Saccharomyces cerevisiae S288C: one gene and its partners. Changing the gene in region 2 together with the main gene of any one other region gives a genetic interaction. Each region holds a gene or a part of one and is shown on either strand. Other genes may lie near its edges. The genes, in order: FIN1, ASE1, BIK1 and KIP2.

Region 1 (7,228 bases), on a different chromosome or scaffold from region 2:
ATCCTTTTAAGATTTTATCCGGACCACTGAGCTGGCATTTTTCTTAGCTTGCTTTTGTCTTTGTTGCACGGGCGACTGAACTTCTTGGAAAATCATGTAAGCCGCAATTGCTTACTAAGTCAAAATTCTAATGGATTCTCCTCTCGAATAAAATTGAATAGTCTGAGCAGTGAAAAAAATGTATATCTTATGTGTGAATGTTATATACCATAATCTAACGAAAGATAGCGAATTAAAGACCGGTCTGTGGCACTCGTAAATATTACCAACAAAGAAAGTTCCCAATATAATCATATAGAAAATGTCAAATTCTCCAACAGTAGCAACTTTGTCACAAGAATATTTCGATCCGAATATTCCTCAAATACTCCCACACGAGAAAATGTATAAGATTCAGGTGGGGAAATCATTATTCAAAATCAGCGGTGCTTCTTTAAGCTCGGATGGTCCTAGTTTCTTCACCGAATATTTTTCTAAGAAGCGCTCTCCTTCCAATAACGATGACAGTAATAACGATACCATGGAATCTAATAAAAATGAGGTTCTATTCATAGACAGATCAGCCGAAGTTTTTGAATGGATCTATCAACATTTGCAAGGATATATAATTGAGATTAAGGATGAAGTACAATATACCATGCTTTTCGCAGATGCGATGTACTACAATTTACCGCGATTGCGATCTTTACTGAAAGAAACGGACTATTATTTTACCAACATTGGTGGACAATCATTCAAGATAGCGAAAAATTTATTTAGAAGAGAAGGAGATTCCCCAAATTATTTCGAAATATATGCGGCTACAGTTTATATCGATGTGGAAGAGCTGATAATATCTAAAAAACTATTAAGGCCTCCATCTCATTCTGCTCCTTACATTCCAAGATCTTCTGAGTACTTCAAAGATTTGCTGACGTTACTGGGAGGAGCATCCATCGATCTAGATGATAATAAAAGAAATGCCTTGATAAAAGAGTGCCGTTATTACAGGCTTTTAAATCTCGAACAGCGGCTAATCAAATCTCATATTAGCTATAACCCAATAACAAGGAAAGAAGAGATTTGCCTCCTATTGAAGGATTTGTCAAAAAAAGGCATCACTTTTCCAGCTTCTTCTGCATTTTCAACCTCGCCCTACTTTGAAGACGATTTCTGTAGCATAAATGAATGCGACTCGCTATCAAAAACCCGTGAACAGCCAGCAAATAAAAAGATTAAACTTGACATGACTGAAAAATATAACGATTCCTGGAATATGCTTTGTTATAAGAGACCTTTTTTAGATAAGCATCCGAGAGAGTTGATATTTCAAATAAATTCGACTGATTGTACGATAATCCTCAATAAGGAAAGCCAAAGTATCCATGTAGACATAACTGGAGAATCCGCCTATAAGTTTGAGGCCTTATTTGGAAGTCATTTGCCAAATACACCCTCTGGTGCGCCTAAGTTGAAAAATTACCAGTATCGGTTCCCATCCGATAGTACGCAGACGAAAATTGAAACTCATTATTTACTTCCAGCATGCATATATCTCTGTGATTTGGACATAAACGGCATTAAGATTTCTCAAGTTCAAACTTTGCTAACTGATAAAAATAAATTCAATGACAGGGTCATTGACGTGTCTGATCCACTTGACCTTAGATTTTGTTCTGGTTTAAAGCTTTACTTAAGAAAGTCTCTCTGGAAACTGGCCGTGAAAGATGGCAATATTATGCTGATAGCTATTAAAGCTATAGCATTTAACGGAACTAAGGAATACTACAAGGGATATGAATATCTGTAGGATTAGCTTGATAAAATTACTCTTCTGCCAAGCTTTTAAGTATATGTATGCTCTCCGTTGTATTTTTTATATGCCATTATAGTACTTGAAGTATAACGGAAACCCATTGTAACTCACATTCCTGTAGTAGCTTCTTTTCTTACTTTTTGTAGGCTCTTGTCTCTTTTCTCTTGTTATTTATCAGTTAATATGTAAGAAAAAAATCGACTTCGGGAATTAGGATACAGACACCTCTTAAAACCAGAGATAAAGTAACGTAGAGAAAATAGTAGGATAATGTGTGCAAAAAGAAGAAACTTTGGTGTCTTAAAATAGATAAAAATAACCCTACTGCCAATTTGAAAGGGCCCGAAAAATGTTTGATAAGTTACCTTATGAGATTTTTAAACAAATTGCCTGGAGAATTCCGCAGGAAGATAAAATTTCGTTAACATATGTATGCAAAAGATCCTATGAATCAATTATACCTTTCATCTACCAGAATTTATTTCTTAATGAAACCTATCACATCAATGGTGACTATGATAACTCATTTGGAACCTGTTATTGGTCTGTCCTAAACTTTCACTACATAGATGAAGATGATTCCAATACTAAAAACGACATGTCGAATAGAAGACTAGCTAAAGTGAAATTTAGTTATTTCGAAAGAACATTAGCAGAGTCACCGAAAAGATTATGTCCCTTAATTAATCGAATACGTTGTACATGGCATTTAAATGAAGATGTGATGACAAATGTACTTAAATTGCTATCCGAGTATGGATCCAATTTGAAATTTGTCGATCAATTTGTTCGCTCATCAGTTAACAAGGGGCTAGAACCTTTATCAAAGCAATTAAAAACTCTAACATTAACGCCACCAACGTTAATGCCCACCCATAACAGTGTAAGCGGTTCTTATTTGAATAAAATTGATCGGTTGCTCTTGAAGTGCGATCTATCTCGATTAGAAAAACTTTCCATTCATATAAACGCATTGAAGTACTTCAAAAATACCGGGTCTCCTATGAAGATCAAAGCATTGGTATTAAATTTGCGACCCGACACACTTAACCTTGCGGAGTACGACGCTTCCGATGACTTCTTAAAAGAGCTAGAATACATCGACATATTTGATGCTTCCACCTTAAGGCAGCTAGAGATTTTGTCTTGGTACAGTCGCGACGATTTTCCCTCTGGCGAAGAAGGTGGTTTTGACAGGTTATATGTCAAATGGGGGCTAGAAGGATTTTGGAAATTTCCGAACATTGAGAAACTATCATTAGCGTCATTGGTTTACAGCGAATTTTTTCTAATGAATTGTTTGGCTGTGTTTCACAATTTAAAGATACTGAAACTTGATTACATGGGTAAATTTGACTTCGATGTGTCGTTGATTAACTTCTTATCTAAACAAGTGTGTGGCAAAAAATTACAGCGTTTTGACATACACTGCCAACTAAATCACAGGCTTTTTTTTCCCATGACAGATAACCCACTAACTCGCTTGAATTTCGATGGTTTCTGCCCTTGTTCAACTTGCAAAAATACAATTCACGAGGTCATTCTAAAAAAAATCTTTCCTGAAACCCGGTCAAAACTTTTAAAGAACCCAAATAAGTTCCAAGCCCATAATTTCTTTTACCAAATGTTTTTCGAGAACAAGATCATGCCCTATACAAACATTATTGACAACGAATCACCTGCGATGGGATGGGATTCTGTACCTATTGAAACGTTTGTACGAAAGTTCAATGAAAATCTGCAAAGCACCATAGAAAATACTGAGAATATTACAGTGAATAAAATTACTAGAGAAGATGCCATTAGTTTGTACCACTTATACCTTCATTATCTAAAAGACGTATTTAAAGTTTTTGAGCAAAGTTTGCCGAACTTAGAATATCTAACCATCAACGGTATACCTACAAAAATAATACAAGTGGACGAGTTACAACGATGCGCGGTTCCCCTCTTCTATAATAATGGCTATAAAAGCAACTCTGTTTATGAATTGGTGGACGCAGAAGCTCTATTTAGTTGATACTGTGAGACATGGCGGTTATAACACGTACATAATGATATATACTCTAAATACTGCAAATTGTCAACAAGAGGAAATCAAAACAAATGGATTGTATAGTCTAGTTAGAGCTTTCTCAGTGTTCTCACTGGATTGCAGTGATGTGACATAGTTCAATAAAACAAATTATGAGCAATAAAAGCAACCGCAGGAGTTTACGTGACATAGGGAATACGATTGGTCGAAATAATATACCAAGTGACAAGGACAATGTCTTTGTGAGATTGAGTATGTCCCCTTTGAGGACGACAAGCCAAAAAGAGTTTTTGAAACCACCTATGAGGATATCACCTAACAAGACAGATGGAATGAAGCATAGTATACAAGTAACACCAAGAAGGATTATGTCGCCGGAATGTCTGAAGGGCTATGTCTCTAAGGAAACTCAAAGCCTGGATAGGCCTCAGTTCAAAAATTCGAATAAAAATGTGAAGATCCAAAACTCAGATCATATAACTAATATAATATTCCCTACATCACCAACCAAACTGACATTCAGTAATGAAAATAAAATCGGGGGTGATGGTTCGTTAACGAGAATACGGGCCCGGTTTAAGAATGGACTCATGTCACCTGAAAGGATACAGCAGCAACAGCAGCAACATATTCTCCCATCGGATGCCAAAAGCAACACTGACCTCTGTTCTAATACTGAGCTCAAGGACGCCCCATTTGAGAATGACCTTCCTCGAGCTAAATTGAAAGGGAAGAATTTATTAGTTGAACTCAAGAAAGAAGAGGAAGACGTGGGAAATGGCATAGAATCCCTTACTAAATCGAACACTAAACTGAATTCCATGCTGGCGAACGAAGGTAAGATACACAAAGCTAGTTTCCAGAAAAGTGTAAAATTTAAACTACCTGATAATATAGTGACTGAAGAAACCGTGGAACTTAAAGAAATAAAGGACTTGCTACTACAAATGTTGAGAAGACAGCGAGAGATTGAATCAAGATTATCCAATATCGAACTTCAACTCACGGAAATACCGAAACATAAGTAATCATATCCCTTCTCACATTTTTTACACAGGAAGTAAGCAAGTTATGTTATATTTCCGACACTATAATTAATTCTTAGCAGTTAAAGGTGCTTTGTCTATATTACATTTACATACAGCTTGAGTGATCCTGACCGGATATAGGGTCCTATTTTCTTACGTGAACGGCTTTTCTTCTTGTTCCCGATGGCCTTCATGTGAAAAAGCACTCCTCGGGAGGCGGAAAAATATCAAAAGTACGGGGCGAAGTTTATAATGAAGATTTATCGATATAAATTTTGGTTATTTCAGGAGAACAAGAAAGCTCTTTACACTAAAATTATCAGAGAAGAAGCTGATATATTAGCCCTAAGGAGTACACCAAAACACAATGAATATTGTCAAATTACAAGTATGTATGCCTTTCTCGAATTCCCACACTGCTGAGCACAGTGAAAAAGTTTTTTCTACCTTTTAGGTTGTAATAAACGTTTCATATACTAACAAACTCTTCTGCGATTAGAGAAAATTTCCAATTTTGACTCAAGAGGATCTTTTTTCCACAATTGAAAAGTTCAGAGCCATTGACTTAGATGATAAAGGATGGGTTGAAAAACAGCAAGCTCTAGAAGCGGTGTCCAAAGATGGTGATGCTACTTATGACGAAGCAAGAGAAACCCTGAAGCATGTGGGTGTGGATGCGTCAGGCCGTGTTGAACTGGACGATTACGTCGGGTTGGTTGCAAAATTAAGAGAATCTAAAACAGGAGCTGCTCCACAGACCACTTTCAACGTAGCACCTAACTCAACCCCTATTGTTTCCACTGCTGCCACAGGACTACAGCACAAGGGTAAGGGTACTCAAGCCAAGATTATTGTTGCTGGCTCCCAAACAGGTACTACACATACCATCAATGAAGAAGAAAGACGTGAATTTACTAAACATATCAATAGCGTCTTGGCGGGAGACCAAGATATAGGTGATTTGCTTCCATTTCCTACTGATACTTTCCAATTATTTGATGAATGTAGGGATGGGTTGGTGCTATCTAAGTTGATCAACGACTCTGTTCCTGATACTATCGATACAAGAGTTTTGAATTGGCCTAAGAAGGGTAAGGAATTGAATAATTTTCAGGCTAGTGAAAATGCTAATATTGTTATTAATTCTGCAAAAGCCATTGGTTGTGTCGTTGTTAATGTTCATTCCGAGGACATTATTGAAGGTAGAGAGCATTTGATCCTGGGTTTGATTTGGCAAATTATTAGGAGAGGTTTGTTAAGTAAAATTGATATTAAGCTGCATCCTGAGTTATACCGTCTATTGGAGGATGATGAAACGTTGGAGCAATTTTTGAGGTTGCCTCCGGAGCAAATTCTACTACGTTGGTTTAACTACCATTTGAAGCAAGCAAACTGGAACAGAAGGGTTACCAATTTTTCAAAAGACGTGTCTGATGGTGAAAACTATACTATCTTGTTGAACCAGTTGGACCCCGCCTTGTGTTCTAAGGCACCATTACAAACCACAGATTTAATGGAGAGAGCTGAGCAAGTTTTACAAAATGCTGAAAAGCTAGATTGTAGAAAGTATTTAACCCCAAGTTCATTAGTTGCGGGGAACCCTAAATTAAACCTGGCTTTCGTGGCACATCTATTCAATACACATCCTGGATTAGAGCCTATTCAGGAAGAGGAAAAGCCTGAAATTGAAGAATTTGACGCCGAAGGTGAGAGAGAGGCAAGAGTCTTTACCTTATGGTTGAACTCTCTTGACGTTGATCCACCTGTCATTTCGCTGTTTGATGATTTGAAGGATGGTTTGATATTATTGCAAGCTTACGAAAAGGTGATGCCCGGTGCTGTTGATTTTAAACATGTCAACAAAAGACCGGCCTCGGGTGCAGAGATATCCAGATTCAAAGCCTTAGAAAACACCAACTATGCAGTCGACTTGGGCAGAGCCAAAGGATTTTCTTTGGTTGGTATCGAAGGATCTGATATTGTAGATGGTAACAAATTACTGACCTTAGGGTTAGTGTGGCAATTGATGCGTAGAAATATTTCGATAACCATGAAGACATTATCCTCAAGTGGTAGAGACATGAGTGATTCTCAAATATTAAAGTGGGCCCAAGACCAGGTAACTAAAGGTGGTAAAAACTCTACCATTAGATCATTTAAGGACCAAGCTTTATCAAACGCCCACTTCTTATTGGATGTTCTGAATGGTATCGCGCCGGGCTATGTTGATTATGATCTAGTCACCCCTGGTAACACCGAGGAAGAAAGGTACGCAAACGCAAGATTGGCTATTTCTATTGCTAGAAAGTTGGGTGCTTTGATTTGGTTGGTGCCAGAAGATATCAACGAAGTTCGTGCAAGATTAATTAT
Region 2 (8,890 bases):
GGCAACTCTTTACTGCAATAATCGGTAGAAAACTTCGTGTGATCAACCATATATATTATACAGCGCTTCAGATGACTTCGGATAAACACCTTTTTGTGCTGATTCACGGGCTATGGGGTAACTATACTCATATGGAATCTATGAGGACAATTTTATCCACTACATTAAAAAAGGAAGATGTTAACGATGATATGATATATTTTTTACCAAAGCAGAATGCCATGTTTAAGACGTTTGATGGTATCGAAATCATTGGGTACAGGACATTGATTGAAGTTTGTGAATTTATCCGAGATTATAAAGACGGGAAAATCACCAAACTAAGCGTAATGGGATATTCGCAAGGCGGATTAGTGGCCCGATTTATGATCGGTAAGATGTTGACCGAATTTAAAGAACTGTTCGAGGATATTGAACCACAATTATTCATTACAATGGCAACGCCTCATTTGGGGGTAGAGTTTTACAATCCTACGGGCATAGCATATAAAAGTGCGTTATATAGTGCGCTGAGGACCTTGGGATCTACTATTTTAGGTAAAAGCGGGAGAGAAATGTTTATCGCAAATTCTAGTAACAATATATTGGTGAAATTGAGCCAGGGTGAGTACCTTGAAGCACTCTCGCTATTTAAATGGAGGATAGCGTTTGCGAATGTCAAAAATGACCGTACGGTAGCCTTCTATACGGCGTTTATTACGGATTGCGACCCATTTATAGATTTTGACAACAAATTGAAATATACATTCGAAGAAAAGATTCCGGGATCTGGCTATAAAGGAATATTGCCTAAGATTGTCGACCTAAACGCTTTAAACGTTAACAGCCATGCTCCTACTAAACCGACCAAGACTTATAAAAAGTGGGGACGCACTATTCTTATTATACTAGTTGCAACATTCTTAATTCTCCCAATAGCCCTGGTTATGAATGGCCTGGGAACCGCTTATAGTTATATTGTTACTTGCAAGTACCGCAAAATGCTCTCTAATGGCATTCTTCACAATGAGGTCAGAGGAAAATTAGGATTGACGGAGCAACTGAAAGGCTATGTTACAGATGCATACGGGTCCATCATAAATTCGGCTTTAGATATGGATGCGAACTATGAAGCAAGTAATAGTAATCTTGTAAACGAAGAAGAGCTTCCTTGGAAGGAATTTATCCAAAAATACACAACTATAAATGATGGTGTTTGGAAATCTAAATTTAAAAAACTGCCTTTTGATGAAAACCGAAAGGTTATTTTGAGAAATCTAAACAAATTGAAATGGATTAGAGTTCCAATATACATAAAGGCTGTAAATGCGCATGGCGTGATTGTGGCACGTAGAGGAATGGACGAGAATACAGCTGCTACTGGGATTGCTTGTATCGAATTTACGGCCCAATTACTAGCATACTTGATGCACAAGAGTAATTGAGCACTTGATTTACACGAAATAGTATATATTTTTGAATGAACACTCTCATGTGATTAAAATGTATTACTACCACTAATGCTTGAAGGGAATTGATAGACTCGTTTTATAGTGGGGGAAAAAGAAAAGAAGAGGATGGTACCCGAATAGTTACTGACAAAAATAAAGAACTCCTCATAGGGGGCTCGAACCCCTGACATTTCGGTATCCTTGCTTAAGCAAATGCGCTTAAAAGCCGAACGCTCTACCAACTGAGCTAACAAGGATGAGTTCTTCGGAGCGTCCTAAATAAAGATTTCTATAGATAGTGGGTATTTAACTTAGGTTATTTAAAGTAATTAACTACCGAAAAGGATACATTGCTAAACTATTTGATAAATGTTGAGGTATAATTTTTATAAAGGAAATAATTTTGGATAGAGTATGTTGGAATAGGAATCAAGTATTATTTATCGACTAGCATTCATATTATTAATATAGTATCATATGCGGCGTAAAAAGATAACCCTAAAGATGAGAAACAGTCATCAGATTTAATGGGAGCTGGATTGCAAGGATATATAATGTAATAATATAATGACTATTATCATAAAGAACAGAAGAAGAATATCAATATTATTAGAAAGAGATATGGATACTCTTTTGGTGGATTTCAATTCTCGAGGGGAACTTTCATATATTTTGTGTATCTAATATTATAGCCTTTAGCAACGGTAGAAGCCCAATAATAATCATTCATTACCTCATGGTAGAGCCTATGATTTGGTTACTTCTAGGGAAGCGTACACAAATCAAATTCGTCACACGTTTCCAATTTGCAAACCTCATATGATAAGGTTTCCAGCAACGCCAACTTTCAACGGATAATACACCTGTTTTATCAGCTGCTCCAGAGAATCATCATCATCGTATCTGCTCAATTACTGTCGTCACAGAATGGACCGTACTTATAGCGATATAATCACTCCGAATCAAGCCAAGCCATCTAGTTGGTCATTTTTAGGACGCCCGACTATAATGTCGTCGATGTATTTTCAATCAGATACTCAACCAACAATTTTATAGTATATATCACCATTGAGAAGCCCTTCACGTAGTTGAAACAGTATACTAACCCAACAATCTCGTATGTTTTTTGATACACCAATCACGTCTCGCAATTTTTCACCGCCACACATTCTGTGGGGGAAGAATACTTCTACTTGGACTAAATTCTACATCAAGTTTTGAAAAATTCCAACCCACAGGCAACATTCATTCTAATGAACAGGGTGAATTCTGCGACCACTATCGTACGAAGAGCATTCATATTTGTACAAAACATTTCAAACGTTTGTTCCGTTTCATTTGTTGCCAATTTGGTTCAAGAAAACTTTAGAAATCAATTGCAGCAATTTTCAAACTGTTCTCTATAAAGCATGAAGAATATTGAACCTTGAATATAATGGAAGAATATCTGCAGATTTATTTGAAGCAGTGAACACTCTGACCTACAGATTAAAGGAAGACGATATAAAGGTAATGACAGACTAACTTGGCAGTTTATCTAAAAAACTTTTCGGAGAATTCAGTTGCTTACGCCAGTAATACTGTGGTAGAAGAAATATTACTTGGTATTCAAGCCATCTACGAGGAAGGAAAATTTATAAAAAACACGAGTACAATAACACGAAGGGAATAAATAAAAATGTCATATGTTCATAACAAGTGCACAGATCGCCCTGCTGATTATGTTACGGATAACAAGATAGAATATCCTTTGGAGCTCGACAATTCTACATAGTATTATATTTTTCTCTTCTTCTTTTCTTTGTTCATTTCCATTGTCATATTTACGTATTTGCTGATGATTGTTGGCATTCCATAATATAGATAACATTATGATAATAATTTCGTCTAACAATCTGTATCATCTTATCAAACCATACATAGCAATATACTACTGATTTAAAACCAGCTAATACAAGATATTTGATCTCTATTTCAAACAAAGGATTTTAAATGTTCTTCAATATGGTCTTCTTTTTTCATTTATTTTTTTTGATTAATATTTTGTTGAAAAGTAAAAGTTTTGAGACATGCAACTTGTATTTCTCAGAAGTGAATAAAAATAAATATATGAGATTTAAGATAGAAAAAACAAATCATCTTTAAAAACTTTCTTTCCTAGTATAGCCACTTTTTATAGTTACAATTGTAAAGAACTGCCTATAAACAATAAGTCTGTCTGCCATATCTACGTTATTATTTAATTTCACTAAATAACCGCCCAGAAAATCGTACAGTGTGATTTTCTTTCGTCATCTAATATTTCCCAATGAGGTAAAAGGTAAATAAGCTTGAGAATCTTTAAGAGGAAACAAATACAAAAATATTATTAAAGTCGAATACCTGGTTTTTTCACAGAACAATAGCAAAGATACGAACAAACGGCTATTACCGAGAATAATTATTTTAAGGACTAATTAGAGCATTTTAATAGGCTATTTTTAATCATCAGATATAGCATTCTGGCATTAGAATTCAAAGGTTTCATTTTGGATTCACTACTTTTGATGTTGAAATGGAGACAGCAACTTCTTCCCCTTTGCCCATTAAATCGAGGAGAAACAGCGAAAATTCTGGGTCTACTACAGTTATACCGCATATGAACCCTTCTTTAGCAACACCGTTGACTGTGTCGACCATGGTAAATCAATCAAATTCTAAAGAGTTTATGAAGTTGACCCCAGTTCGTATTAGAGATTTTGGTTCTCCTTTGAAAAACGTGTCCACTAATTACCATTTTTTAGACTCAGAAAATGGTAAAGGTAACACAATGGATAATATGTATAGAGAAAATTTCATTCTTATTTCAAAGGATCTAGAGAAATTACTGGAGAATCTCAATGTCATATATCAAAATATTGGGTATTCTAATACGGAAATTATCACCAAGGAGAAAATCATATTCACCACTATATCTAATTCCATAAAACAATTTTTTGAGCAAGCTGACGAAGAATTGAAAAGACTGTCCGCAGAGAACGGAATTGAACAGGATATTCTAAATAACATTCTAGAGAGAATAAATGACCCAAGTGGCATAAAGACTATTCCTGACTTATACATTAGAAATGCTATTCTACTGCAAGAAAGTAAAACTGTGCCACAGTCACCGAAAAAGCCACTTTCCTTACTAAGCAAAAAAGCAGCATTAGATACAGCAAAAAAATTTGTCCTAGGAAGTTTTTTACCCAGGCTCCGCGACTATTTAAAATCCTTAATCACTCTAAAACACCTCATACAATCTGTAAAAGAAAACCTTCCTGGATTGACAGAAGCAGATAACGAGGCTATCGCCGAGTTTCCAGAATTAAGCACATTAACCGCATATTTGTTACAAATAGAAAATGGTAAAGGCGATATTGGTTTGTCCATGAAATTTATTATAGATAATAGAAAAGATATTTTAAAGGGATCGGCATTTAAAACTATTAACGAAGAATCTGTGAAACACATGAATGAAGTCATAAAAATTTACGAGGAAGAATACGAGAGGAGGTTTAAAAGCGTACTCACAAAAAAGGTTAGTATTTCATCAATATGTGAACAACTTGGAACTCCCCTAGCAACGTTAATCGGTGAAGATTTTGAACAAGATCTAAGATCATATGGAGAAGAGGAAAACTCCACATCAGAAATACCAAATTTCCACCCGGTAGACAGAGAAAGAATGTCTAAAATTGATATTACATTGGAAAAACTGCAAGCTATCCATAAGGAAAGAGCAGACAAAAAGAGGCTCCTGATGGAACAATGCCAAAAACTTTGGACAAGGCTAAAAATTTCTCAAGAATACATAAAGACTTTTATGCGTAACAATTCAAGTTTATCAACCGAGTCCTTAGGTAGAATCTCTAAAGAAGTTATGCGACTTGAAGCAATGAAAAAAAAACTAATAAAAAAACTTATATCAGATTCCTGGGACAAAATTCAGGAATTGTGGCGTACGTTACAGTATTCAGAAGAAAGTCGGTCTAAATTCATCATTGTATTTGAAGAACTAAGGAACAGTGCAACAACTTTACAGGAAGATGAGCTTCTTCTAGAAACTTGCGAAAATGAGCTAAAAAGACTAGAAGAAAAACTGACCCTTTATAAGCCAATTTTAAAATTAATATCAGATTTTGAATCTTTACAAGAAGATCAAGAATTTTTGGAAAGAAGTTCAAAAGACTCTTCACGGCTTTTGTCTAGAAATTCTCATAAGATATTACTAACTGAAGAAAAAATGAGGAAAAGGATAACAAGACACTTTCCTCGAGTCATCAATGATTTAAGAATTAAATTAGAAGAGGCCGATGGTCTATTTGATCAACCTTTTTTGTTCAAAGGTAAGCCACTTTCAGAAGCAATTGACATTCAGCAACAGGAAATCGAAGCAAAATATCCAAGATGTAGAGTTAGAATGCAGAGATCTAAAAAGGGAAAATGTGGTGCGAACAAAGAGAATAAAGTCATAAAAAACACTTTCAAGGCCACAGAAAGTTCCATCAGGGTACCGATTGGTTTGAATTTAAATGATGCCAACATTACTTATAAAACGCCTTCAAAGAAAACAATACAAGGCTTAACAAAGAATGATCTATCCCAAGAGAACTCGCTTGCTCGTCATATGCAAGGAACAACGAAGTTATCTAGTCCGAACAGAAGAGCAACAAGATTACTAGCACCCACAGTAATATCTAGGAATTCCAAAGGGAATATAGAGAGACCTACCTTAAACAGAAACAGATCATCCGATCTTTCATCATCGCCTAGGATAAATCATACGCATGGCGAACATGCAGTAAAACCACGCCAATTGTTTCCTATCCCGCTGAACAAAGTCGACACTAAGGGTAGTCATATCCCTCAATTAACTAAAGAAAAGGCTTTAGAACTTCTTAAAAGGTCGACTGGCACCACGGGTAAGGAGAATGTACGAAGCCCGGAACGCAAAAGCTCATTAGAAGATTACGCACAAAAATTGAGCAGTCCTTATAAAGAACCTGAGCACAGCATATATAAACTTTCCATGTCGCCAGAAGGTAAATTTCAATTAAACATTCAACAAAAAGATATTGAAAGCGGATTTGATGATACCAGTATGATGGAAGATGAAAATGATAAGGATTTTATTACATGGAAAAATGAGCAAGTTTCGAAATTGAATGGATTCTCCTTTACAGATATTTGAATTTCTTAAAAGCGCATTCATTTAACCCTCTGATCTCTTATTTATTTTTTTTGTGGTTTTTTTTTTCACATCACTTTCTAGCCTTCGCTACATTGTCTCTTTCTTTCCTTCTTTTATTCTATCATTCTCCCTTTCCTTTTTCCATTGCACCGTGACTCTGGATTAATATGGACATAATAAAATTTGTAATATTCAATATAATCATGTAAGCATTCCAAGTAAATACGCAGGTTGGCTAGTCTAAATCGAAAATGTAACATTACTACCATACTATATATCTACATATTGTAATTGTGTAGGTATATACTAATCATTTACCAATGTTTAGGTTCCATGCCTTCTGGTGGTGAAGTTTTAACCGTTCCCTTAGATACGTCTTCCCAGTCTGTACTCAATGCAGTACCATTACTTTCTATAAAGGATTTCATCATAGCCCTTTTGGTATCTGGATCCGCTCCAGCGTAAAGCTTTTGAAAGAAACTATCAGCCGATCCCGCTTCTTCATCAGCTTCTTCATCAATGTCAAGTTTAGACCAATCTATTTTTTTTTTAGAGGACGATGGATAAGACAATCTCTCTTTTGATGCCGTTTCTGCTGATAATAAGCGGGTTGCAGAATCAGAATTTTTACCCTCATCTGATAACCTTGAGGATTCCGTTAAAATATCTTCTTCCAACTTCTTCCATTGCGTGCTATCAATTTTGCTCAAGGTAATTTCCAGCTTTTTTGGGAAAATTTTTAATGACACTGCTTTTGGATCCACCTCATGCGAAAGCTTAGCGTTGTATTGAAATTCAGATCCAGATTTCGGTACTTGGTACGATATCGATAAAGTTCTTCTATCGTTTGGAGAAATATATATATTGACTTGTTCCTTAGACTCAGGAAGATTAACAGTAAATAATGATATAGTGACAGAGGTGCTGGATTGATACCAATCGATTTTAAATTTAGGGGATTCTTGAGGAGCGGTTTCAATTTTGAGAGGTGAAATGGGACTATGAGAAGAATTATTATCTCCTCTGTTTTCAATACTTTCCACTGGTTTAATTGTATGCTTATTAGTTGAATCCTTCTGCTTTTTATTTTTTTTATTCAATTTTGTCTCCAGACGATCTTCCCATAAAGGCAAAGTGTCATCAACGTAACCAAGATTCTTGGCTTTTTTAAAATAAGATTGGGCCAGTTCATAATCTTTGATATTGAAGAAATGAACAAAATAACGAAAGTTAACAAGACCAATCTTCGATCTATCGCCCCTACCCTCAGCTGTCATTAGAGCCTTGTCAAGAAGTTCCTTTGCGTTTTCCATAGTTGCATCGCTGTGCCAATCAGAAAACCCAAAGTATAGCTTTTCAAGACATGCTGCCTTAAAAATGAGAGCCGTTAAATTTGTGGGTGAGCCTTTGAGAATTTCATCATAAAGATGGAGGGCCTTCAGTGGTTCCTTCTCATCATACAAAGCTTTGTAGGCAGTTTTTAAATCTTTTTCAACAGGCATTTCTTTTTCGTTTCCTTAAAACAACTACCTCTTTAACCTTAAAAGACTTCTGCCATTACTTTGTCATAGTGCTTTCGTTCAATTATTAGCGTTCAAAGATATATCGCATATGATCAACTCATCTTGAGACCTTACACCCTAAAGTGCTTATATTGGCTTCGTTTATAGTGATCAAAGTCATCAATATAGTGCTCGTCAGTGTAAGACTGAGAAGATCATTCTTAAAAGAATTAGCAGATGATGCATAAGCACTATGGCGGTATTATCTACTATCATTTCTCTTGTATCTGTGCTGAGCCTGGTTCTATTGAAGAAGAATTCAAAATTTGAATGTCTCAATAGAAAAACCCGGACATTCCATAATGCAAGATCAAAATTTTTCGATGAGCTTTGTTTTGCATTGGCAAATTTTTACCTGCTAAGAAGAAGTCTACATGGAGAAACAGCACCATTATCTCAAGTATGTTCTTAACATAGAGGTCGTTCAGTCAGCGCTAGATAAATCTCATCGGCGATCATAGTTCAGTATTTTTCTAAAGTTTCTTTAAAGGAGCATAATATGACCGAAAACCAAACCGCACATGTAAGGGCGTTGATATTGGATGCCACCCCATTAATTACGCAGTCCTACACACATTACCAGAATTATGCACAGTCTTTTTATACTACTCCCACAGTTTTTCAAGAAATTAAGGATGCTCAAGCAAGGAAAAACCTTGAAATTTGGCAGAGCCTCGGAACTTTGA
Region 3 (7,425 bases), on a different chromosome or scaffold from region 2:
GTGGTTTTGATGGGGTGGGTATTATCAACTCGTGTTTCTCAGTGCTTTTATTGCAGTCATGATGATCATTGAAGTTGGTTTCCAAAGTTTGTTGTGCAGTAGTACCGTATATCACTGAATGGGGTCTTGCCGTGATTAGATCGATGTTATTGTTGCGATAAGATGTGATTTGTGAATCTGGCGTGGTATTACCCAAGTTATTCACACTGTCATTTGCATCCAGAGGCGTGTTATTATACTCCAAGATGGGCGATCGTTCGTCAGGCATTATATCTGACTCATTGAAGTAACCCTTACTTATCCGGGAGAGCATTTTCATTTGCTTCAGTTGTGGAGCCCCAGTTGGGGTCTTTAAAGAGGTCTTTGATAAGCCATAATCCTTAAAGTATGTAGAACCCCTCAAGAACCATCGAGATAGTGGAGATTCGTAACTCCATTTCTCACTCGTTTTTAACGCAGTTTTCTTTGAGGACACCGTTTTTTGAGAAGGTAAATCATTATACGAGGGCATGCTGGATTCAATATGGACAATATTCGGTGGTTTAGTATACAGGAATGCATCCACAACTTTCTCTTCCTCCATTTCGTTCACTTTGGGGTCTAACGAAATGTTTTTACCAGACCAAGCATATGGGTTCTTCACCGTTTTCTTAGGTGTCAGTATATGCTGCGGTATTATGGGTTTGGAAATTTTGTACTGTATTTTTGAAGACATGTTATCACCCGAGGTCCACTGGGTGTCGTTATACTTCTCAATATCACGATTAGAATATGAATTCTGATCCTCACACTTACTCTGCCAAAATAACCGTGAGAACCAATTAGTGCGGCGACAATATTCCTCTTCCCTTGGAATCGTAGCTGACATGGGTGGATTTGAAATGGACACCGAATTCCTTTTAAGGTAGAAATAACACAAAAGGATAAGTAATCCGAAACAGAATATTCCGATGGGAAGTCCGATTGAAAGCCCAATTGTGCTTGCTGAAGATGATTTTGGCTGAGCCGCCACATTAGAAAAGAGTAGATTAGACGGTGTAGAGCGTATTGATGTCGCTATTGTCGTTACTGTTGTTACACTCGTCGAGGAACTAGCTTGCGAAGATATGTAATTTGATGCTAAGGTAGTAGACATTGCGGCGACTGTCGTCAGCACAGTTGTTGTCGTCTGCATTATTGTTGCTACCATTTTGATTTTCAGAAACTTGATGGCTTATATCCTGCTCTTAAAGGAAAAAAGATAAAGGATGTCGTATCCAAATATTTTAAGAGCAACACATACCTTACAAAGCCACTCTTACATTGTCATTTAAATAAAACCAATCCCGAGAATTACGTTATTTGTTTCAAATTACAGACGTTTCATGTTTGTTTCATCATCGCACCAAAATGAGACAGCGCGAAAAGTGACAGTGCAATTATGCCATTCAATACGTCAAAAAGGGCATCCTGCAGAGATACAACTCTGTTTTGAAAGGGTCCACATGGTAAATATGGAAGCAAAAGAAGGATTGAGGCATCACTGACAACAAAATTGTCTTGCAGCCCAATTAATAAAAAAAAATAAAGTTATATATATAAACAAATACGTAAACAAAGGATAGAAGGCGAACTGAATCATCGTTCAGTAGCGGTTCTGGTTGCCGTTATTGTTCTGTTGAGAAAAGTTGCCAGAAAAATTGAAGGATTCGTGCTGTCCATTGGAGTTCTGGTTTCCGCCGTATTGCGGTCTTCCGTACTCATTGGATTGCTGTTGACCATTCTGTTGCGGTCTACCATACTCATTAGCCTGTTGCTGGCCCCCATAACTCGAATTTGAATTGGAGTTATTGCCCAGGTAGGAACTTGCCATGGAAGCCAAAGCTGAGAATGAACTGGAGTGGCCTTGTTGCTGCTGCTGACCCTGTTGTTGATGCTGATAGTTTTGGCCTTGTTGCTGGTATTGCTGCTGGTTGTTTTGGCCTTGTTGATTGTATTGCTGTTGGTTGGATTGAGTTTGTCCACCACCTAAGTAAGATTGAGCCATGGAGGCCAATGAGGAAAAAGCACCACCAGATTGTCCCTGTTGTTGTTGGTAACCACCGTTGCCACCTTGGTACTGTTGATTATTGTAACCTTGACTATTTTGGTTACCGTTTTGATAGGATTGGTTATAGCCCTGTTGACTATTGTTGGAGTTCTGATTATTATTGGAATGCATAAAAGAGCTTGCCATAGAAGCCAGTGCTCCAAAGGAGGAACCACCGGAGCTTTGATTTTGACCTTGCTGATTATTGTTGTTGGAATTCATGAAAGATGAAGCCAAAGACGCCAAAGCAGTAAAAGAACCTTGACCTTGACCTTGTCCTTGACCTTGACCTTGACCTTGACCTTGTCCCTGACCTTGGGAATTGTTACCTGACTTAAAGAATTGAGAAGCCAAGGCAGCCAGGCCGGAAGCACCCATACTTTGGCTCCCGCCGCCAGAACCACTTAGCATTGACATGACAGTCCCTACGTCAAACCCTCTGTTAGAAGAACCTTTATTTGATGAGTGTGTCATCACTGTGGCTAACAAAGCTAGTTTTCCTAGTTGCGTTTGGGAAGAACCCTTAGAGTCTGCCATTAAAGTGTTCATAAAAGATGAACCACCACCAGCAGCACGATCTTGCGAGGCGTCACTACCACCACTACGGTTGTCCATGACGTATCCTGCGATTTTTTGAATTAATGATTCAATAGTTGACATTTGCTCGTCATTGGGGTTCGACTGAGCTGCGGATGTCAACTTCGCAACAGCTTCTGCATGGTTTCCTTGAGAAAAATGAGACTCAGCCTCTGAGATTAACTTATCCGTATCCATTTCAGATCTTTGCTATACGTTTGTATCGCTATATGTACGTTCTTTTAATGAACTTTCTCCTTTCTTTATCGTGTAGCTTGCTTGGGTATCTTTTAATGAGTTGCGGACAGTGAGATTTTTCAGAAGGGCAATTGGCCAAGACACCAAAAACGTTTGGACGAGACAGGCATCAAAGGACAAGGTAAAAGGCGTTGAGCTGTGGCTGGCTGTGTATGCGTTTGAAATACCATGGATAGATATCAAAGAAAGATAGGATGTTTCATACAAATCCCAAATTTGGGGCGCGGACAACTGAAATACGTGGGTCCAGTGGACACGAAAGCTGGAATGTTTGCTGGTGTAGACTTACTTGCCAACATTGGTAAGAACGATGGATCATTCATGGGGAAGAAGTATTTTCAAACGGAGTATCCTCAAAGTGGACTATTTATTCAGTTGCAAAAAGTCGCATCATTGATCGAGAAGGCATCGATATCGCAAACCTCGAGAAGAACGACAATGGAACCGCTATCAATACCCAAAAACAGATCTATTGTGAGGCTCACTAACCAGTTCTCTCCCATGGATGATCCTAAATCCCCCACACCCATGAGAAGTTTCCGGATCACCAGTCGGCACAGCGGTAATCAACAGTCGATGGACCAGGAGGCATCGGATCACCATCAACAGCAAGAATTTGGTTACGATAACAGAGAAGACAGAATGGAGGTCGACTCTATCCTGTCATCAGACAGAAAGGCTAATCACAACACCACCAGCGATTGGAAACCGGACAATGGCCACATGAATGACCTCAATAGCAGCGAAGTTACAATTGAATTACGAGAAGCCCAATTGACCATCGAAAAGCTACAAAGGAAACAACTACACTACAAAAGGCTACTCGATGACCAAAGAATGGTCCTCGAAGAAGTGCAACCGACTTTTGATAGGTATGAAGCCACAATACAAGAAAGAGAGAAAGAGATAGACCATCTCAAGCAACAATTGGAGCTCGAACGCAGACAGCAAGCCAAACAAAAGCAGTTTTTTGACGCTGAGAATGAACAGCTACTTGCTGTCGTAAGCCAACTACACGAAGAGATCAAAGAAAACGAAGAGAGAAATCTTTCTCATAATCAACCCACTGGTGCCAACGAAGATGTCGAACTCCTGAAAAAACAGCTGGAACAATTACGCAACATAGAAGACCAATTTGAGTTACACAAGACAAAGTGGGCTAAAGAACGCGAACAATTGAAAATGCATAACGATTCGCTCAGTAAAGAATACCAAAATTTGAGCAAGGAACTATTTTTGACAAAACCACAAGATTCCTCATCGGAAGAGGTGGCATCCTTAACGAAAAAACTTGAAGAGGCTAATGAAAAAATCAAACAGTTGGAACAGGCTCAAGCACAAACAGCCGTGGAATCGTTGCCAATTTTCGACCCCCCTGCACCAGTCGATACCACGGCAGGAAGACAACAGTGGTGTGAGCATTGCGATACGATGGGTCATAATACAGCAGAATGCCCCCATCACAATCCTGACAACCAGCAGTTCTTCTAGGCAGTCGAACTGACTCTAATAGTGACTCCGGTAAATTAGTTAATTAATTGCTAAACCCATGCACAGTGACTCACGTTTTTTTATCAGTCATTCGATATAGAAGGTAAGAAAAGGATATGACTATGAACAGTAGTATACTGTGTATATAATAGATATGGAACGTTATATTCACCTCCGATGTGTGTTGTACATACATAAAAATATCATAGCACAACTGCGCTGTGTAATAGTAATACAATAGTTTACAAAATTTTTTTTCTGAATAATGGTTTTGCCGATTCTACCGTTAATTGATGATCTGGCCTCATGGAATAGTAAGAAGGAATACGTTTCACTTGTTGGTCAGGTACTTTTGGATGGCTCGAGCCTGAGTAATGAAGAGATTCTCCAGTTCTCCAAAGAGGAAGAAGTTCCATTGGTGGCTTTGTCCTTGCCAAGTGGTAAATTCAGCGATGATGAAATCATTGCCTTCTTGAACAACGGAGTTTCTTCTCTGTTCATTGCTAGCCAAGATGCTAAAACAGCCGAACACTTGGTTGAACAATTGAATGTACCAAAGGAGCGTGTTGTTGTGGAAGAGAACGGTGTTTTCTCCAATCAATTCATGGTAAAACAAAAATTCTCGCAAGATAAAATTGTGTCCATAAAGAAATTAAGCAAGGATATGTTGACCAAAGAAGTGCTTGGTGAAGTACGTACAGACCGTCCTGACGGTTTATATACCACCCTAGTTGTCGACCAATATGAGCGTTGTCTAGGGTTGGTGTATTCTTCGAAGAAATCTATAGCAAAGGCCATCGATTTGGGTCGTGGCGTTTATTATTCTCGTTCTAGGAATGAAATCTGGATCAAGGGTGAAACTTCTGGCAATGGCCAAAAGCTTTTACAAATCTCTACTGACTGTGATTCGGATGCCTTAAAGTTTATCGTTGAACAAGAAAACGTTGGATTTTGCCACTTGGAGACCATGTCTTGCTTTGGTGAATTCAAGCATGGTTTGGTGGGGCTAGAATCTTTACTAAAACAAAGGCTACAGGACGCTCCAGAGGAATCTTATACTAGAAGACTATTCAACGACTCTGCATTGTTAGATGCCAAGATCAAGGAAGAAGCTGAAGAACTGACTGAGGCAAAGGGTAAGAAGGAGCTTTCTTGGGAGGCTGCCGATTTGTTCTACTTTGCACTGGCCAAATTAGTGGCCAACGATGTTTCATTGAAGGACGTCGAGAATAATCTGAATATGAAGCATCTGAAGGTTACAAGACGGAAAGGTGATGCTAAGCCAAAGTTTGTTGGACAACCAAAGGCTGAAGAAGAAAAACTGACCGGTCCAATTCACTTGGACGTGGTGAAGGCTTCCGACAAAGTTGGTGTGCAGAAGGCTTTGAGCAGACCAATCCAAAAGACTTCTGAAATTATGCATTTAGTCAATCCGATCATCGAAAATGTTAGAGACAAAGGTAACTCTGCCCTTTTGGAGTACACAGAAAAGTTTGATGGTGTAAAATTATCCAATCCTGTTCTTAATGCTCCATTCCCAGAAGAATACTTTGAAGGTTTAACCGAGGAAATGAAGGAAGCTTTGGACCTTTCAATTGAAAACGTCCGCAAATTCCATGCTGCTCAATTGCCAACAGAGACTCTTGAAGTTGAAACCCAACCTGGTGTCTTGTGTTCCAGATTCCCTCGTCCTATTGAAAAAGTTGGTTTGTATATCCCTGGTGGCACTGCCATTTTACCAAGTACTGCATTAATGCTTGGTGTTCCAGCACAAGTTGCCCAATGTAAGGAGATTGTGTTTGCATCTCCACCAAGAAAATCTGATGGTAAAGTTTCACCCGAAGTTGTTTATGTCGCAGAAAAAGTTGGCGCTTCCAAGATTGTTCTAGCTGGTGGTGCCCAAGCCGTTGCTGCTATGGCTTACGGGACAGAAACTATTCCTAAAGTGGATAAGATCTTGGGTCCAGGTAATCAATTTGTGACTGCCGCCAAAATGTATGTTCAAAATGACACTCAAGCTCTATGTTCCATTGATATGCCAGCTGGCCCAAGTGAAGTTTTGGTTATTGCCGATGAAGATGCCGATGTGGATTTTGTTGCAAGTGATTTGCTATCGCAAGCTGAACACGGTATTGACTCCCAAGTTATCCTTGTTGGTGTTAACTTGAGCGAAAAGAAAATTCAAGAGATTCAAGATGCTGTCCACAATCAAGCTTTACAACTGCCACGTGTGGATATTGTTCGTAAATGTATTGCTCACAGTACGATCGTTCTTTGTGACGGTTACGAAGAAGCCCTTGAAATGTCCAACCAATATGCACCAGAACATTTGATTCTACAAATCGCCAATGCTAACGATTATGTTAAATTGGTTGACAATGCAGGGTCCGTATTTGTGGGTGCTTACACTCCAGAATCGTGCGGTGACTATTCAAGTGGTACTAACCATACATTACCAACCTATGGTTACGCTAGGCAGTACAGTGGTGCCAACACTGCAACCTTCCAAAAGTTTATCACTGCCCAAAACATTACCCCTGAAGGTTTAGAAAACATCGGTAGAGCTGTTATGTGCGTTGCCAAGAAGGAGGGTCTAGACGGTCACAGAAACGCTGTGAAAATCAGAATGAGTAAGCTTGGGTTGATCCCAAAGGATTTCCAGTAGATTATTTCTAACTTGGAAACCGAACACTAACGAAAATAATATGTATATATACATATATATATCAAACAAAATACAGTCTTGAATGAATAGAGATACACTATGTAATGAATGGTAACGTAAAAATTGTAATTTTGGATTAAAAGAGAGGTAGTAGCAAGAGTGGGTATCAAATAGCGATTAATAAATGAATATCCTTATTGTCATCACTTCGAACGACGTAAGTTAAATTGGAAAATTTTTCACTTTTTGGTCACCTAAGAAATAAGCAGGAAAAAGAAGAGAACATTGAGAGGATGGTAAAGCAAGAGGCATTTAGGGCGAACGAACTAGGTAACAGATAACAACCTCAGATAGAGTGTTACGGGAT
Region 4 (8,312 bases), on a different chromosome or scaffold from region 2:
GATTGAAAGGATTTTATGAAGATACTGAGAGTTATTATATGGTGATGGAGTTCGTTTCTGGTGGTGACTTAATGGATTTTGTTGCTGCTCATGGTGCGGTTGGAGAAGATGCTGGGAGGGAGATATCCAGGCAGATACTCACAGCAATAAAATACATTCACTCTATGGGCATCAGCCATCGTGACCTAAAGCCCGATAATATTCTTATTGAACAAGACGATCCTGTATTGGTAAAGATAACCGACTTTGGTCTGGCAAAAGTACAAGGAAATGGGTCTTTTATGAAAACCTTCTGTGGCACTTTGGCATATGTGGCACCTGAAGTCATCAGAGGTAAAGATACATCCGTATCTCCTGATGAATACGAAGAAAGGAATGAGTACTCTTCGTTAGTGGATATGTGGTCAATGGGATGTCTTGTGTATGTTATCCTAACGGGCCACTTACCTTTTAGTGGTAGCACACAGGACCAATTATATAAACAGATTGGAAGAGGCTCATATCATGAAGGGCCCCTCAAAGATTTCCGGATATCTGAAGAAGCAAGAGATTTCATAGATTCATTGTTACAGGTGGATCCAAATAATAGGTCGACAGCTGCAAAAGCCTTGAATCATCCCTGGATCAAGATGAGTCCATTGGGCTCACAATCATATGGTGATTTTTCACAAATATCCTTATCACAATCGTTGTCGCAGCAGAAATTATTAGAAAATATGGACGATGCTCAATACGAATTTGTCAAAGCGCAAAGGAAATTACAAATGGAGCAACAACTTCAAGAACAGGATCAGGAAGACCAAGATGGAAAAATTCAAGGATTTAAAATACCCGCACACGCCCCTATTCGATATACACAGCCCAAAAGCATTGAAGCAGAAACTAGAGAACAAAAACTTTTACATTCCAATAATACTGAGAATGTCAAGAGCTCAAAGAAAAAGGGTAATGGTAGGTTTTTAACTTTAAAACCATTGCCTGACAGCATTATTCAAGAAAGCCTGGAGATTCAGCAAGGTGTGAATCCATTTTTCATTGGTAGATCCGAGGATTGCAATTGTAAAATTGAAGACAATAGGTTGTCTCGAGTTCATTGCTTCATTTTCAAAAAGAGGCATGCTGTAGGCAAAAGCATGTATGAATCTCCGGCACAAGGTTTAGATGATATTTGGTATTGCCACACCGGAACTAACGTGAGCTATTTAAATAATAACCGCATGATACAGGGTACGAAATTCCTTTTACAAGACGGAGATGAAATCAAGATCATTTGGGATAAAAACAATAAATTTGTCATTGGCTTTAAAGTGGAAATTAACGATACTACAGGTCTGTTTAACGAGGGATTAGGTATGTTACAAGAACAAAGAGTAGTACTTAAGCAAACAGCCGAAGAAAAAGATTTGGTGAAAAAGTTAACCCAGATGATGGCAGCTCAACGTGCAAATCAACCCTCGGCTTCTTCTTCATCAATGTCGGCTAAGAAGCCGCCAGTTAGCGATACAAATAATAACGGCAATAATTCGGTACTAAACGACTTGGTAGAGTCACCGATTAATGCGAATACGGGGAACATTTTGAAGAGAATACATTCGGTAAGTTTATCGCAATCACAAATTGATCCTAGTAAGAAGGTTAAAAGGGCAAAATTGGACCAAACCTCAAAAGGCCCCGAGAATTTGCAATTTTCGTAACCAAGGACAAATACCCATAGAAAATGCTGCCCCTTTTTAAGAGAGAAGATGGTAGATACCAATACTCAGAATTCATCTATTCATAACTTTTTGGGTTTTTATTACATATAGAGTGACGTTTTGATACGATTTACATTTTGAAATATATAGATTTTTGTATATTAATAAGTTTTGATTTTCAGTTTTAGTTATGCTTAATGAATTTTTGAATCAGAAAAAGAAGTTCTGAAAAAAACATAATCCTGCTTGATGTGGTACAACAAGCTCATAAATAATTTTAAAAAGTTTGTTAATCCGTTTTCAATATCTTGAGCTCCTCAATTGTATTTGCTGAGGTCTGATTATTTCTATAACCAAAAGCGGTTATTGAATCTATGGAGAGGCTGTAACCCGTCTTATGCCTTCCGGGTACTATATTTCATTTGCGGGTGTCGATGGATTAAGGGGCGGAGGCGGCCCTTTTTAGGATTTATATAAAAAGCCATACTTCCGTACTTCGTAACCTCTTATCAACTGGTTAAGGGAACAGAGTAAAGAAGTTTGGGTAATTCGCTGCTATTTATTCATTCCACCTTCTTCTTTTTTGAGCGAAGCCTTTATAATCAAATTTTAGTGGTCTTTTCTATTTTTATTTGAGAAGCCTACCACGTAAGGGAAGAATAACAAAAAGTATATCTCACCCTACTGTATTCATAAAAAGTTTTTTCTATTAGAATTCTATAAGAAAAGAAAAAAAAAAAGCCTAGTGACCTAGTATTTAATCCAAATAAAATTCAAACAAAAACCAAAACTAACATGTTCAGCTTGAAAGCATTATTGCCATTGGCCTTGTTGTTGGTCAGCGCCAACCAAGTTGCTGCAAAAGTCCACAAGGCTAAAATTTATAAACACGAGTTGTCCGATGAGATGAAAGAAGTCACTTTCGAGCAACATTTAGCTCATTTAGGCCAAAAGTACTTGACTCAATTTGAGAAAGCTAACCCCGAAGTTGTTTTTTCTAGGGAGCATCCTTTCTTCACTGAAGGTGGTCACGATGTTCCATTGACAAATTACTTGAACGCACAATATTACACTGACATTACTTTGGGTACTCCACCTCAAAACTTCAAGGTTATTTTGGATACTGGTTCTTCAAACCTTTGGGTTCCAAGTAACGAATGTGGTTCCTTGGCTTGTTTCCTACATTCTAAATACGATCATGAAGCTTCATCAAGCTACAAAGCTAATGGTACTGAATTTGCCATTCAATATGGTACTGGTTCTTTGGAAGGTTACATTTCTCAAGACACTTTGTCCATCGGGGATTTGACCATTCCAAAACAAGACTTCGCTGAGGCTACCAGCGAGCCGGGCTTAACATTTGCATTTGGCAAGTTCGATGGTATTTTGGGTTTGGGTTACGATACCATTTCTGTTGATAAGGTGGTCCCTCCATTTTACAACGCCATTCAACAAGATTTGTTGGACGAAAAGAGATTTGCCTTTTATTTGGGAGACACTTCAAAGGATACTGAAAATGGCGGTGAAGCCACCTTTGGTGGTATTGACGAGTCTAAGTTCAAGGGCGATATCACTTGGTTACCTGTTCGTCGTAAGGCTTACTGGGAAGTCAAGTTTGAAGGTATCGGTTTAGGCGACGAGTACGCCGAATTGGAGAGCCATGGTGCCGCCATCGATACTGGTACTTCTTTGATTACCTTGCCATCAGGATTAGCTGAAATGATTAATGCTGAAATTGGGGCCAAGAAGGGTTGGACCGGTCAATATACTCTAGACTGTAACACCAGAGACAATCTACCTGATCTAATTTTCAACTTCAATGGCTACAACTTCACTATTGGGCCATACGATTACACGCTTGAAGTTTCAGGCTCCTGTATCTCTGCAATTACACCAATGGATTTCCCAGAACCTGTTGGCCCACTGGCCATCGTTGGTGATGCCTTCTTGCGTAAATACTATTCTATTTACGATTTGGGCAACAATGCGGTTGGTTTGGCCAAAGCAATTTGAGCTAAACTTTTCTTACTTCTCCGCCCTATCCTTTTCTGCCATCTAGAGAGCTTTTATAAGTAGATAACAATAAAAAAAACTATAGTATATTTAAAAAAAAAAAACAAGACAAACCATCTTGTCCTCAGTTTTAGAATCCATTGTTCTATGCTGCTGCCCATAATGTCATTATATGCGGGTAGCCCGATGATGCGGCTCGAGAATTTCCTTGTTTATCCTTTTCCAATAGCGGAACAATTGATAATAAAGCAATGTAAGCAGAAGCGAAAAATAAAAAGAAATAGGCTGCAGAGATTCACAGGCTGCGCTCTAGAAACATTTGAAATCAAGGCAAACATAGAACACTTGATAAAATTCTTACCATAATACCACCATTGATGATTCAAAAAATGAGCCCAAGCTTAAGGAGGCCATCAACGAGGTCTAGTTCTGGTTCAAGTAATATCCCACAATCGCCCTCTGTACGATCAACTTCATCGTTTTCTAATCTGACAAGAAACTCCATACGGAGCACCTCTAATTCGGGTTCTCAGTCGATTTCTGCATCTTCCACTAGAAGTAACTCCCCACTAAGATCCGTATCAGCCAAATCCGATCCCTTCCTTCACCCAGGTAGGATAAGGATCAGGCGGAGCGACAGTATTAACAACAACTCGAGAAAAAACGATACATATACTGGGTCAATCACTGTGACCATCCGGCCGAAACCACGGAGCGTTGGAACTTCCCGTGACCATGTGGGGCTAAAATCGCCCAGGTACTCTCAACCAAGATCCAACTCACATCACGGTAGCAATACATTTGTTAGAGACCCCTGGTTTATTACTAATGACAAAACAATAGTGCATGAAGAAATTGGAGAGTTCAAGTTCGATCATGTTTTTGCTTCCCATTGCACTAATTTGGAAGTTTATGAAAGAACCAGTAAACCAATGATTGATAAGTTATTGATGGGGTTTAATGCCACCATATTTGCGTACGGTATGACCGGGTCAGGTAAAACGTTTACAATGAGCGGAAATGAACAAGAGCTAGGCCTAATTCCTTTATCTGTGTCGTATTTATTTACCAATATCATGGAACAATCAATGAATGGCGATAAAAAGTTCGACGTTATAATATCGTACCTCGAAATTTACAATGAAAGGATTTACGACCTGTTAGAAAGCGGATTAGAAGAATCCGGTAGTAGAATCAGTACTCCTTCAAGGTTATATATGAGCAAGAGCAACAGCAATGGATTGGGCGTAGAATTAAAAATCAGAGATGACTCTCAGTATGGGGTCAAAGTTATCGGTCTCACCGAAAGAAGATGTGAAAGTAGTGAAGAATTATTGAGGTGGATTGCAGTTGGTGACAAAAGTAGGAAAATTGGCGAAACTGACTACAATGCAAGAAGCTCACGATCTCATGCCATTGTACTGATTCGTTTAACAAGTACTAACGTAAAGAACGGCACCTCAAGATCGAGTACATTGTCGTTGTGTGACCTAGCAGGTTCGGAAAGGGCTACGGGGCAACAAGAGAGGAGAAAGGAAGGTTCATTCATCAACAAATCCTTACTTGCTTTGGGGACTGTGATATCCAAACTCAGTGCCGACAAGATGAACTCAGTAGGCTCAAACATTCCCTCGCCATCTGCAAGTGGCAGTAGCAGCAGTAGTGGAAATGCTACCAATAACGGCACTAGCCCAAGCAACCACATTCCATATCGTGATTCTAAATTGACTAGATTATTGCAGCCGGCACTAAGCGGTGACAGCATAGTGACAACGATATGTACAGTCGACACCAGAAATGATGCGGCAGCGGAAACTATGAATACGCTGAGGTTTGCATCAAGAGCGAAAAACGTCGCACTTCATGTATCCAAAAAATCCATCATCAGTAACGGGAATAACGATGGAGATAAAGATCGCACCATTGAGCTACTGAGACGCCAATTGGAAGAACAACGTAGGATGATCTCTGAATTGAAGAACCGTTCAAACATTGGCGAGCCCTTAACCAAATCTTCCAATGAAAGTACTTATAAAGACATTAAAGCCACCGGCAATGATGGTGATCCGAATTTGGCTCTAATGAGAGCGGAGAATCGAGTATTAAAATATAAACTAGAGAATTGTGAAAAACTACTAGATAAAGATGTGGTTGATTTGCAAGATTCTGAGATTATGGAAATTGTAGAAATGCTTCCCTTTGAGGTCGGCACCCTTTTGGAAACAAAGTTCCAAGGTTTGGAATCACAAATAAGGCAATATAGGAAATACACTCAAAAACTTGAAGACAAGATCATGGCGCTAGAAAAAAGTGGTCATACTGCAATGTCGCTAACTGGGTGTGACGGCACTGAAGTGATCGAATTACAGAAGATGCTCGAGAGGAAGGATAAAATGATTGAGGCCCTGCAGAGTGCCAAACGACTGCGGGATAGGGCTTTGAAACCACTCATTAATACACAGCAATCACCGCACCCTGTCGTGGATAACGATAAATGATTAGGTGAGGGTCCCAGATCTCGGGTGCTTTTTTCCTTGTGCGGATTGTTCTGTAGACTGCGCCTCCGCTTGCCCGGCGCTTGCCTTGAACGGGATCTATTCTCAGAAGACAGCGCATAAAAGGCAGTTTTTAGGCACTTCTCGTTAAGAAAATACACAAATAATGGATTTACGAAGTTCGTTTCAGTGTGGTACCAAAAAATTTGGCATCAGCTAATAAAGATCAAGAAGTTTTGGGGTTGTTTCGAGTCTGTCTCGGCCTTAATTGTGCAGGTACTAAAGGGATTAATATATAAAGATTGTTAAGGCCAAGTGACTGAAACTTGCAAACGTCTTTGAATCAGGCTTATCTCTTAAATACTTATATATATGTTCTTTTATAGACTTCATAATCTCTTGTTCCAAGAACAGTAAAGAGCAATTAAAAAAAGGAAAATAACAGTTAAAGATGATAGCGGATTCATCAGTTTTGAAAAAGCACACAGCAATCAAGAGAAGTACGAGAATAATATCGCTAACACTCGTTTTGCTTGGCGTATTTAGCTTCTTACTACTTACATGGAATGACTCCTTGGAATTCTACAACTCTGCTGACCCTAGCGAAAACAAAAAAAATAGTGAGGAAGAAAGTGAAAAGAAGTTCGTTTACAAGTTGCCAAACTTATTAAAGACAGCAGACAGTTTTCTAAGTAATGAAAATGAACTAAATTTCCAAAAAGTCAAAGAAGAAATTTCAAATATTCAAAGCGAGGTTGAAGTCGACATCCCAGAACCCTCATCCAAAGCTACATCAAAATTTTCTTCAAGATCGTTCCAAACTGATAATGTCGTGACGGCGACGACCACAACAACACTAAATCCACGGTCATCTTCTCTGGCCTTGCAGAAAAACTGCGATCACAAAAAATTCGACCCTAGAACAGATTTTCTAGATATAATAAGAACCTCTCCAGCGGTATTATTCATTAAATCATCACAAGCAGACTCCATTTTCTTAAAAAATCTATTACAAAGAGAATTTGAGATTTCACCCGAATTGGCCACTGTTGATTTGGAAAAACACTCTCATGGCTATGAATTAGAAAAGTATATCAAACAAAATAAACTAAATATCGATACTAGTGCTGCCTTGGAATCCATTCAGTCGCCTTATTTATTTTTGAATGGTATTTCCGTGATAAATCGTGGAATGGTGAGAGATATAATCGAACCTCATTCGAAGGGATTGCTACTACCTCTTCTAAAGTCTGAAGCGCGTGGCAACTTGCTGGTAGAAAAAAAAGACATCCCTTCTAATTCTTAATTTGTTATCACTCCTATCGACGAGCAGCCGCAGCTAAAAGAACGTTTTAATTATTCCCAAATTCACGTAAGCGATCCTCTTTATGTGCTATATATACATTCATAACATAGTCATTGCATTTTCTATCATACGATTCAACTTGAACAAGTGTTTAACCATTTACGTCGTAAATGTCTACAGTATTATCTTTGGTCGTTGTTGTGGATTCATGCTTTTTTCTTTTCGAGAGCTCTTCGTTTTCAGAACTCAGCTCTTCCTTTTCGGACGACTCCCTTCGACTATTCTCCGTACTTGCTGGTTCGTAGTTAAAAAAGCATTCCCCCCACATGCAAAATATTCCTTTCATATATCCATTCTCCTTTACATATAATACTTTACATTTGGCAAATGGACCTAGTACTTTCCTCGTAGCTCGAGAAAGCTGGTTCAAATCAGAGTTCCTTGGCAAAAACATAATCACATTAGGGCTTAGTTTAAGAAAACTTTTCAACATCTTGGTAATCCCCATAGGCTTTAGATGTTGCTCTAAGTCATACACATCGTTTCTTAAGTATTCTGGACCACCCCACGGGGGTGATCCAAATACACAGTCGTACTTTATTTTGGAAAGTTTCTGCTTAGAGACTAGCTTTTTCCAGGATCCCCGCTTCAGCCATATTCTGTCGTCCACACCGTAGCTTTGGGCGTTTTTCGCAGTACAATATATGTGTTCAATACTGTAGTCCACTCCATAGACGTAAGGAAATTGCATGGCAAATTGTATGGTGTTCCCGCCCCCACCACAGAAAACATCCAGTATTCTTT

What was found.
Region 1: mutations in ASE1 (region 2) and FIN1 together harm fitness more than expected from each alone (negative genetic interaction), as found in Saccharomyces cerevisiae (5 studies listed by BioGRID, with this or other methods).
Region 3: mutations in ASE1 (region 2) and BIK1 together harm fitness more than expected from each alone (negative genetic interaction), as found in Saccharomyces cerevisiae (5 studies listed by BioGRID, with this or other methods).
Region 4: mutations in ASE1 (region 2) and KIP2 together harm fitness more than expected from each alone (negative genetic interaction), as found in Saccharomyces cerevisiae (5 studies listed by BioGRID, with this or other methods).

What each region holds. Positions count from the first base shown.
Region 1 is NC_001136.10:713,377-720,604, reverse strand, and holds FIN1 (Fin1p), read left to right. Parts: upstream 1-3,982; coding exon 3,983-4,858; downstream 4,859-7,228. Other genes in the region: MRX16 (Mrx16p), read left to right, coding at 302-1,789; YDR131C (uncharacterized protein), read left to right, coding at 2,145-3,815; SAC6 (fimbrin), read left to right, coding at 5,226-5,246, 5,358-7,228. UniProt on the Saccharomyces cerevisiae protein: Forms cell-cycle specific filaments between the spindle pole bodies of dividing yeast cells.
Region 2 is NC_001147.6:431,440-440,329, reverse strand, and holds ASE1 (Ase1p), read left to right. Parts: upstream 1-3,984; coding exon 3,985-6,642; downstream 6,643-8,890. Other genes in the region: LPL1 (putative hydrolase), read left to right, coding at 72-1,424; co-chaperone SGT1, read right to left, coding at 6,957-8,144; NOB1 (rRNA-binding endoribonuclease), read left to right, coding at 8,704-8,890. UniProt on the Saccharomyces cerevisiae protein: Required for anaphase spindle elongation.
Region 3 is NC_001135.5:65,567-72,991, reverse strand, and holds BIK1 (Bik1p), read left to right. Parts: upstream 1-3,070; coding exon 3,071-4,393; downstream 4,394-7,425. Other genes in the region: FUS1 (Fus1p), read right to left, coding at 1-1,189; prion domain-containing protein RNQ1, read right to left, coding at 1,625-2,842; HIS4 (trifunctional histidinol dehydrogenase/phosphoribosyl-AMP cyclohydrolase/phosphoribosyl-ATP diphosphatase), read left to right, coding at 4,659-7,058; RRP7 (Rrp7p), read left to right, coding at 7,424-7,425. UniProt on the Saccharomyces cerevisiae protein: Required for nuclear fusion, chromosome disjunction, and nuclear segregation during mitosis. Probably required for the formation or stabilization of microtubules during mitosis and for spindle pole body fusion during conjugation.
Region 4 is NC_001148.4:255,109-263,420, reverse strand, and holds KIP2 (Kip2p), read left to right. Parts: upstream 1-4,084; coding exon 4,085-6,205; downstream 6,206-8,312. Other genes in the region: serine/threonine/tyrosine protein kinase RAD53, read left to right, coding at 1-1,694; PEP4 (proteinase A), read left to right, coding at 2,490-3,707; pheromone-regulated protein PRM4, read left to right, coding at 6,654-7,508; TGS1 (RNA methyltransferase), read right to left, coding at 7,660-8,312. UniProt on the Saccharomyces cerevisiae protein: Required for assembly of the mitotic spindle.